Caenorhabditis elegans: one gene and its partner. The protein of the gene in region 1 interacts with the protein of each later gene in a biochemical or structural test. Each region holds a gene or a part of one and is shown in the gene's direction. Other genes may lie near its edges. The genes, in order: daf-2 and chn-1.

Evidence for each region.
Region 2: of the proteins of daf-2 (region 1) and chn-1, one has a biochemical effect on the other in vitro, tested with the Caenorhabditis elegans proteins (2 studies listed by BioGRID, with this or other methods).

What each region holds. Positions count from the first base shown.
Region 1 is NC_003281.10:3,037,793-3,042,649, reverse strand, and holds the start of daf-2 (Insulin-like receptor subunit beta), read left to right. Parts: upstream 1-1,803; 5' UTR 1,804-1,868; intron 1,869-4,857. UniProt on the Caenorhabditis elegans protein: Insulin receptor-like tyrosine kinase which regulates metabolism, controls longevity and prevents developmental arrest at the dauer stage.
Region 2 is NC_003279.8:6,180,578-6,185,472, reverse strand, and holds chn-1 (E3 ubiquitin-protein ligase CHIP), read left to right. Parts: upstream 1-1,616; 5' UTR 1,617-1,626; coding exon 1,627-1,685; intron 1,686-1,731; coding exon 1,732-1,822; intron 1,823-1,875; coding exon 1,876-1,944; intron 1,945-1,992; coding exon 1,993-2,091; intron 2,092-2,138; coding exon 2,139-2,345; intron 2,346-2,566; coding exon 2,567-2,779; intron 2,780-3,774; coding exon 3,775-3,837; 3' UTR 3,838-4,159; downstream 4,160-4,895. Other genes in the region: GPI mannosyltransferase pigv-1, read right to left, coding at 1-10; T09B4.2 (Torsin-1B), read right to left, coding at 238-328, 394-607, 716-1,019, 1,066-1,386; putative mitochondrial import inner membrane translocase subunit tin-44, read left to right, coding at 4,633-4,714, 4,763-4,895.

The sequences.
Region 1 (4,857 bases):
CTTGAATATATTTTTTTCTAACTTTTAATAATTATCTGTAAATAAAGCTCTTGTTTTTATCATAATTTCCTGAAAATCGTATAGTTGAACTTTTAAAGTACACTTTGACTCACCGAGCAAATCCAGATGCCATTTTGTCATCTATTTTTCTGACTTTAAAATATCATCAAAATATGTTTGTCTAGTTTTTATACTATAGTTTATTTTGCGTTCTTTCTTTTGAATAACATATTGTTATAACTTTTTAGTGGAAATTTTAACAAAAAAAATTGCTGATTTACAGTTTAGGAGTGCTAAATTAGGTTTGCAAGACTTTGTGAATCTAATTTTAAATGTGTGTATATCTGTGTGGAGCAGAGTTATGAAAAACTGTTTTCACACAAAAATATAGCAAATTTTAAGCTCTACAAGTTGTTAGTTAACAACTTTTTATTATCTTTCCTCTTCGCTGAGGTACACGCGTCTAAGTGTGGTGAGTGCGAGAGCTTAGTGCGGCAGAGCCTTACTTACGACCGTTTATCTCATTGAGGAAAGGTGCTAGCAAATAATTCCAAACTAGTAATCTGTAGAAAATTTTAAGCTCTACAAGTTGTTAGTTGACAACTTTTTGGCAACTTTTTTCCCCGCAGAGATATGAGCGCCAAGCTGTGCAAAGTGCGAAAGGTCAGTGCGGCAGAGCCTTACTTACGACCGTTTATCTCATTGAGGAAAGATGCTAGCAAAAAATTTTTCACTAGTGAATTGTGGCAAATATGAAGCTCTACAAATTGCTAGTTAACAAATTTTTTGTAACTTTCTCCCTCGCAGAGAAATAAGCGCCAAGCTGTGCTGAGTTTGAAACCGCGCGAAGGGCAGAGCCTCATTTACGGCCGTTTATCTCATTGAGGAAGAGTGTTAGCAAAAAATTTTCCACTAGTGAATTGTAGGAAATTTTGAGCTCTACAAGTACTTCATTGACAACATTTTTGTAACTATTTCTCCCGCTGAGATACGTGCCTAGATATACGACCTGGAAATTGAAGCTGAATCTCGAATCTCTTCCCCTCTGGCAGAAAAAGTCGAATTTCCCTCCTTTTTCCTGCTATTTTGAGAAAAAAAAAATAATTACGCAAATGGCGCGAAACTTTTCTGACACTTTTCTGATCAAAAATTAGAGTTATGCAAAGAAACGAAGGAGCTATGTAGTGACGTCATTCTCGAATTTTAAATTTTTTACCAAACCTTCTAATTCTTGTTTTTCTCTCTATTTTTCCTAGTTTCTTTGTTTCTTGAATGTTCCCAAATAATATCGGCGGATTAATTGATAAGGATATCTATCAATGACATTGCCTCCTCTCTATAGAAATCTGTGTAGAAATAGTAAAAGTGCATTAAAAGATGATAAACGACCATCAGATTTCATCTTTTTCTATCTTTTTCATGGCGGAAATGTTGTTTACTTCTTTCGGCCTTGTTTTCCTGGTGTTTTTCCCTAATTTCGTGGGGTTCAAAAGAGTTCAAACCGGTCAAATGTCGCTTTTTTTGCAAAAAATATTGGTAGTAGCAAGTGCGCTCCATTGTCAATTTAGAGTTTTCACCATTTTTAGAGATGTTTTTTGTGCATTTTTGCAATGTTTTGAACTGAAAATTCAAGTTTTCAATTTATGAAATGTAGAAACTGTATTTTTCCATTGAAAAAAAGCTTTAAATCGACATTTTAACTGATTTTAAACATTTTCCCGGGGTACTGTACCTGCGAATGTGTGCAGCGGTGTTTGCGTACCCGCGCTTTCGTTTTTGATTTTTGAATTTCGTTTTTCACATTTTTCTTCGATTTTTCTCAATATTCCAGCTATTTTTCACGGATTTTTATCATTTTTTCGACAAAAGTAAGTAATTTTCTCTTTTTTTCCACTAAAATTCCCACAAAAATCGTAAAAATAGGGAGATTCAGGCGGGTTTTTTGATTTTTCACCGATTTTTTGCTATTTTCTTCATTTCTCAGCCGATTTTAGTCTTTTTTTTTGTCTAAATTATCAAATTTAACCTTAAAAATCTGCTAAACCATCTGATTCTTCGCTCACAGAACGATTTTCCCGTCATTTTCCAGTTTTTCCCAATTTCCGCCCGTAAAATTCCATTTATCCAATTCAAATTACGCCGAATTTGTTGCAATAGTCTTGGCACGGTGCCAATTGGATCTTTTCACGTCATTTTTGACCATTTTCAAGGTCTTTTCAATGCACTTTTAGGCTGCCTTTGTGAAAAAATAACGGATATTCGAAGTTTTTCGTGAAAAAAAGTGGAAAATCTAGGAAAAAATCGAGAAAAATAAGGTTTTTAAAAGATTTCAACAGACAAAACCACAAAATTTGCTCAAAAAAGCAATTAAAAATTGAAAAAATTACTTGAAAATATCGATTTTAAGCGATTTTGTTTTAAAAATACACACAATTTTTAGCGAAATCACACAAAAAATCGAGAAAATCCCAAAAATTTCGTTAAAAACCAACAAAATTAATGTGAAAATTGGTTTTTTCGCTTTAAAATTGATAAAAATTGATAAAAATTTATTTAAAAAATCACACTTCGGTCAATCTCTGGGCCATTTGCAGCAATTTAGCAATAAAAATAACGAATTTTCTGATGTTTTAGGCAGAATTTTGGAGATTTTTAGGGAAAATCTCAAAAAATAACCAAAAATCGCTTTAAAATTGATGAAAATTCCCATTTTCGCCAATTTCTGAACCATTTTTCCGCAATTTTGACCAGTAAATTGCAAAAAATATCGAAAAATTTTGGATTTTATAATCCAAAATTCTAAAATTTCAAGTAAAATTCAGCAAAATTTGGTGAAAAAAAATACAAAAAATTACAAAAAATTGGCTCAAAAATCAAATTTTTGCGAAAAAAATCGAATTTTAGCCCAATTTTCTTCGATTTCTTCCAAATTTTCACTCATTTTTCGCTTTTTTTCGCTCTTTCAATCAGAAATACCCCCTTAAAAATAAATATTTTCCAAAAAGTACACCGACAAACGATGAGCAAACAATCTGTGCCACGTGGGAATTGGTTTTTTTGTGTTTATTTTACAAAAAATGTCAATTTTTTGCTCAATTTTTCAATTAAAAATCGTAATAATTTGCTATTTTATAGTTTAAATTATTGATTTTTAGGTTTTTTTGGCGGGAAAAAAATAAATTTGAAAAAAAAAACGGCGGCGGATGGGGTACAACAACAACAACTCAAAGATCAAAAAACGAAACGCGAAAACATTTGAATTGACCCTTCGTTCTTTTTTCTATGTTTTTTTGCCATTAAAATTGAGTTTTTCGACGTTAAAATGCCGAAAATTCGATAAAAAACTGAAAAAATTGAGTTTTTTCCGGAATTTTAACCCCAAAAACCGAAAAAAAAATCCCGGAAAATCCCCCAGATTTCACTAAAATCTCCAGTTTTACCAACTTTTTTTTGTTAATTTAGGTACATTTTGTGGCCAAAATCAAAAAAAAAATGGTAAATAAACTACCAAAATGTGAAAAATTGGATATTAATTAAATATAAATTGAATTCTGGACAAAATTGAAATTTTCAATTGATTGAACCATTTTTCTATGTTTTTTTGCCATTAAAAATGAGTTTTTGGCGGTAAAATTCCGAAAATATAATTAAAAAATTAAAAAAATTATGTTTTCCCGGAAATTTAACCCCAAAAACCGAAAAAATTCTGGGAAAACTCCAGAAAAATGGGCAAAAATGTAGATTTTTTGGGCCATTTTTTGGCCATTTTTTCGCTTTAGATTTTAATTTTTTATCTGAAAAAAATTGGATTTTTATTCCCCAAATCTAATAATTTCCACAATTTTTTGACACCAAATCCTCTATAAAAATCGTTTTTTTTCATGAAATCTATTCAAAATCTGGCAAAAATTTTGATTTTTTCGACCAAAAACACCTCTAAAATGACCAAAAATCAACGATTTCATGAAAAATGACAAAGATTAGGTCATGTGATGCATTTTTTTTCGTTGTTTTATTACATGATATGGAATTGACAGTGTTCAGAATTTTTTTATTGGTCAAAATTTGGTTTTTCTTTGAAAAAATCGCAATTTATTCTGAATTTTTTGTCAGTTTTTGAACGCCGATTTTTGGCAAATTGCCGATTTTCTGGAAATTTTCAATTCCGGCAAATTGCCGATTTGCTGGAAATTTTCAATTCCGGCAATTTGCCGATTTGCCGGAAATTTTCAATTCCGGCAATTTTGCCGGATATCAATTCGCCGGATTTTTTGAGGGGATTTTTTAAATTACGCAAACCCACAATTTACCGAAACTTTCGGCAGTTGCCGTTTTTCCGGCAAATCGACTAGTTGCCGGTTTGCAGAATTTGCCAAAAATTTGGAAAACCGCAAATTGCCGACTTTGCTGTTTGCCGGAAATTTTCAGTTTCGGGAAATTGCCAGTTTGCCGGAAATTTCAATTCCGACAATTTGCCGATTTTCTGGAAATTTTCAATTCCGGCAATTTGCCGATTTTCTGGAAATTTTTAATTCCGGCAAATTGCCGATTTGCCAGAAATTTTCAATTCCGGCAAATTGCCGATTTGCTGGAAATTTTCAATTCCCGCAATTTGCCGATTTGCCGGAAATTTTCAATTTCTGCAATTTGCCGATTTTCTGGAAATTTTCAATTCCGGCAATTTTCCGATTTGCCGAAAATTTAAAATTTTTCAATTTGGGCAAATGCCAAATTTTCCGAAAATTTGAAAAATGGCAAATTGCCGATTTTGCCGGAAATTTCAATTCCAGCAAATTGCCGACTTTGCCAGAAATCTTTCTACCAACTCCGGCAAATACTGCCTAATCTGAAAATTTT
Region 2 (4,895 bases), on another chromosome or scaffold:
GTCTACGCATCCTGTATTAATCATTTTAGAAAACAGATCAATAAAAAAATAAAATAGTGACAGCATTTTTAAAGCGAATATACGAGATTTATACGAACATGTAAAACTTTTACTATTTTTATTCAATGAACACAGAATTCCTTGAACTATTTAGCTGATCTTGTAAAACCTTGGATTAAATTACAGAATTAAAAAATAAAAACCCGTGAAAAATGAAGGTAATGTACCGGCAAAATTTTAAACACATAAAAAATAAGAAATTCGTGCAATAATCGGTGGAATGTTGTCTGAAGAGCCGCCGTTCTCAATCCAGCGTTTCGTTAGAAATCTGTAAGTGCGAAAATTGTAGATCAAAAAATTTCTTAACTATTTTGATCTACAAAAACCACTTACTGGACCATTTTCTCATCACAACTTGTGTTGGCAATGTCCATCGTTGAATCTTGTTGTGAAGAAACAGTCAGAAAAAGTATTGTTTTGGGAACTGGATATTTTCCGTGATCTGAGAACGCATGAAGAACAAGAACTGCATCCCATTTTAGCAGGTCTACATCCAAAATCACAGCTGTTCGAGGTGATGATTGTGAAATAAGAGCGGGTCCGAGGACTGAAATAATGCATTATATTTTCAAAATTCAGCGAATTTTCACATTACTTTGGAGATGTTAAAAAGTTATTTAAACATAAAATATTATGAGGTTCTGAAATCACTCACTTTCCTGCAAATTCGCATGCAACTCGGCTCTATCAGTGTCACTTTCCACTCTAATTGATGATTTTCCTGCCGTAGTATGCTCATCACTTTTAGCATCTTGAACAGCTCGATTCACAGCTTCGGCAATTTGTTTGGCCGGTGTTCCCCCAACAAGAACAACCAACGGAGCATGATTTTCTGGTTCCAAATAGATTTTCTGCCCGATTAGTCTTAAGAGATCCCGATTTTCTTTCGAAATTGTAGGAAACTCGTTCTTGATGACAGATCGGACTGATTTGATGTAACTTTCATACGATTCGTTAGTCTAGAAAATTGTTAATTATTCCGATACCGCGTGTAGTTTTACCAACCGTAACTTTGCTTCCTTTAATCAATGCTCCCACAACAATCGCAATGAAAACTATTCCAATAACAGTCCAGTATTTCCATTTTTCATTCACTTCGTTACATGACACATCGGATTCTTCTGATCCATGTGAGCTACTGAAACTCAAATCCGCATCTGTGAAATCATTTTCATCTTGTTGCTCGCTAGTCTTTTCGGTTCTTGCATTACTTATTTGTTCAGTTAGATCAGGATAAAGCCTTGATGAACTATCGAGACTCCTACGTTTATTCGATGTTGGTATGTAATTGGATGGAGTTCCATATGATTTTCTGGTTTGCACCATACCCTGAACTAAAACGAAAATTGGAGCAGAATTTGAAAAAAAAAAATTAAACTGTTAAAAAAAAACATAAATATAAAAAATTGCGGCAAAAAACAAATTTTGGCTTGGAGCGAGTACACCGCAAACACCGCAAGCTTAATTTGCACACAATGCGTCAGAGCTTACGCGCAACTCTATCCGCATCATGCTTTTCAAAATCGATTTTTAGAACAATTTCCGCTTATTTTCAGCGTTTGCAGCATGTCAAGCGGCGCCGAACAACATAATACTAATGGCAAAAAGTGTTATATGAATAAAAGGTATTTTCATTTATGTGTAATAAATCCCATGTCTTTGAACTTTCAGATATGACGATGCCGTTGATCACTATTCGAAAGCCATCAAAGTAAATCCTCTGCCGAAATACTATCAGAACAGAGCAATGTGTTACTTTCAGGTATTTATACTTCGATTAAAACTTTTCTTTAACTTTTGTAATATATATTCTAGCTTAACAACCTCAAGATGACTGAAGAAGACTGCAAACGGGCACTGGAACTGAGCCCAAACGAAGTGAAAGTAAGCTTTCAACTCTTGAAGTTAATTAGTTATTCAATTCATTTTCAGCCTTTATACTTCTTGGGAAATGTATTTCTACAGAGCAAAAAGTACAGTGAAGCAATAAGCTGTCTCTCCAAAGCGCTCTACCATAATGCTGTTATCACGGTAGAAATTTTTGAACGGCGTTTATTAAAACGGAATTGTGGTTTCAGAACGCTCCAGATATTGAGAACGCCCTCAAACGGGCACGCCATCAAAAGTACGAGGAGGAGGAGTCAAAGCGAATTGTACAAGACGTTGAATTTCACACGTATTTGGAGAGCTTGATCGAAAAGGATCGTCAAGAAAATTCTGAAAACCCAGAGGAGTTGCAAAGAGCAGATATGGCTAAAAAACGTCTAACCGAACTCACTTTAGCGGTAAATACTTTTTCTTGAAAGTTTTTTGAAACTTTAGTAATACTATTCCCAAATTCTTATATCTAAGCGTTTCTAATTCGAACCAAACGAGTTTCCGAATCCTGCCAACTTTTTTCAACCGGTTCAAAATATACTTTCAGAATTAAGCATACTAAACTATCGTGAGTGTAATATTTCCTAAATCACGAGAGATCAAAGAGAATCAAAATATCATTTTTTAGACACAAGAAAAACGGCAAAACAGGGAGGTTCCTGAGATGCTCTGCGGCAAAATTACACTGGAACTGATGAAAGAGCCGGTGATAGTTCCATCTGGAATCACGTATGACCGAGAAGAAATTGTGCAGCATTTGAGAAGAATTGGCCATTTCGATCCAGTCACAAGAAAACCACTTACCGAAAATGAAATTATTCCGAATTATGCACTGAAAGAGGTTGGAAATTTATACAGGGTGGGCCAAAAGTATGGTAACACGTTTGCAGCTCTATAACTTTACTAGTGGAAAGAGTTACTACATCAATTGTTACAAGTTTTGTTCTCCATAAAATACTGACCAGATGAACGTTTTGAATTTTCAAAATATTCCCATCCGCATCGCTGCAGGCCTTCAGAACTTTTGAGATCACGACCTTTATGGCACGCAAGTCGGCATTCTGCGGGATTTCTACATTTTTCTCGAGGAATCCATCAAGTGCCTTACAAGTTTTTATAGTTCAAAGAATGCTCTTGGTCTAGAGATTCTATAAAAACAAAAATCCAAATAATTTCTATCACGGTATTTCTGTCATGGACTGCGGCAGTAGGTTAAGTCTTGAATGGCATAGTCGCCAGAAAGATGGATGTGAGCGGCGAGTAGCAGTATGCAGAAAAATTCATTTTAGTATTTTTCGAGACGTTTTGACCTGACTTTCCAGAATTTTTTTAGAAAATTGAGCTCGGATGATTTTGTGGGACGTTACGCCTTGCGAAACCAAAAAAACTGAGTAAATTTCGCAAAGTTGAATTCATGAAATATTCAAAGGTTCTTGCTAGGCGCCAGTGTCGACACAGAAAATTTTTATATGCCACAAAAACAATTAAAAACGCTTCTTCACTTCTTTAACTTTAAATTTAACATAAAAATCATACATCTGAAAATTATTGGCGTGCATGGGAGGTGTGTTTGTGTGGGAAGTGCCGCGTGCCAAATTACCGTTTTTTCGAAAGGGTTCGCCAAATTGTCGAGGTGATAAAGATCGCACCTTATTGGGAAACATTACAAATTTTGAGTCAAATTGAAGGAAATTTATTCAGCTATCAGTATTCGATAGAAGAATGTACGTATGACGTGGCAGTCACGCGAAAAGCTCATGTAAAAGAGCGCTTCATGTGTTACCATACTTTTGGCCCACCCTGTAATAAATTCAGTTAATTTCTAATGATTTTCAGGTTATTGAAAAGTTTCTTGACGACAACCCATGGGCTAAATATGAACCCGGAGGCATGGTTTAAATACTATTCAGAATATTGAAAAATTCAACATTAAACATTCCTGGCTGCTTCTCAATGCAACTTCTTCACTTTTCTACATGTTTCAGTTCTTTGCATTTTTTTTTCGGATTTTTAAACTTTTATTGTTTGAACGCTGTACCCTCCTTTTCTGTTCTACCGGTATTTGTATCTTGGTGTATTTTTTAGCTTTAGTTTTCTTTCAAAATTCCATTGAATTTCTGGTAGAAAGTGCACTTCAACTTGTCGCTTAGTTCTCAATTTTACTGCTAAAAGTGAGATTCTGTAAATATTGTATGAAATAAAGAGGTGTGATGCTTTTCTTTTCATTTTACAATTTTTTTTATACCAATAGGAAGGTCTATAACCTACTATCTACGTGACTTTGTAAATAAAATAAATAAAATCGGGAAGTTTTCAAAATTGCATCACTGGGAGTGCGGGATTGCGGAGTGTCGTTGTGAAATTTAGACGGCATTTTTTTCCGTTTTTTCAATTTCGAAGCTGTTTAAGCTGAATTCTGTTCGAAAATTTGTTGAAATAAAATGCAAAAAAGAATTTTTGTTCACAAAAAATGGTTATTTTCATTCTCCGGGCATTATTATTTTTGTTTGCAGAGTTTTAGAATAACTGTTTAAAAATCCTTGATGTTTAGATCTGAAAAGCTTTCAATGGTTCAGAAGAAATTATAATTAAACCGAAATTAATTAATTAAATTTATTATTTGAATATTTCCCGCACAAGTTCCATTCTTGCCTCTTCTTTATTGAACTTATAATGTGAAAAATTATTCTTCAGATGTTGTCACGAATTTGTGGAAACGGGATACGATTAACTCGGACAAGACTTCAATTTCAGCCATCTATTGTTACTTTCAGAGGTAGGCAATGTCTATAGGTTTTCATTTCTAACTATTTCCAACTTTCAGACTACAGTAATCCAGCGCCAAAACGTGGATTTTTGAATAATCTGATTGATAATGTACGAGATGAAATGCAGAAAAACAAAGAACTTCAGGAACATCAACAACAGTTGAAAGCTCGAATGCAGGAATTAAATGA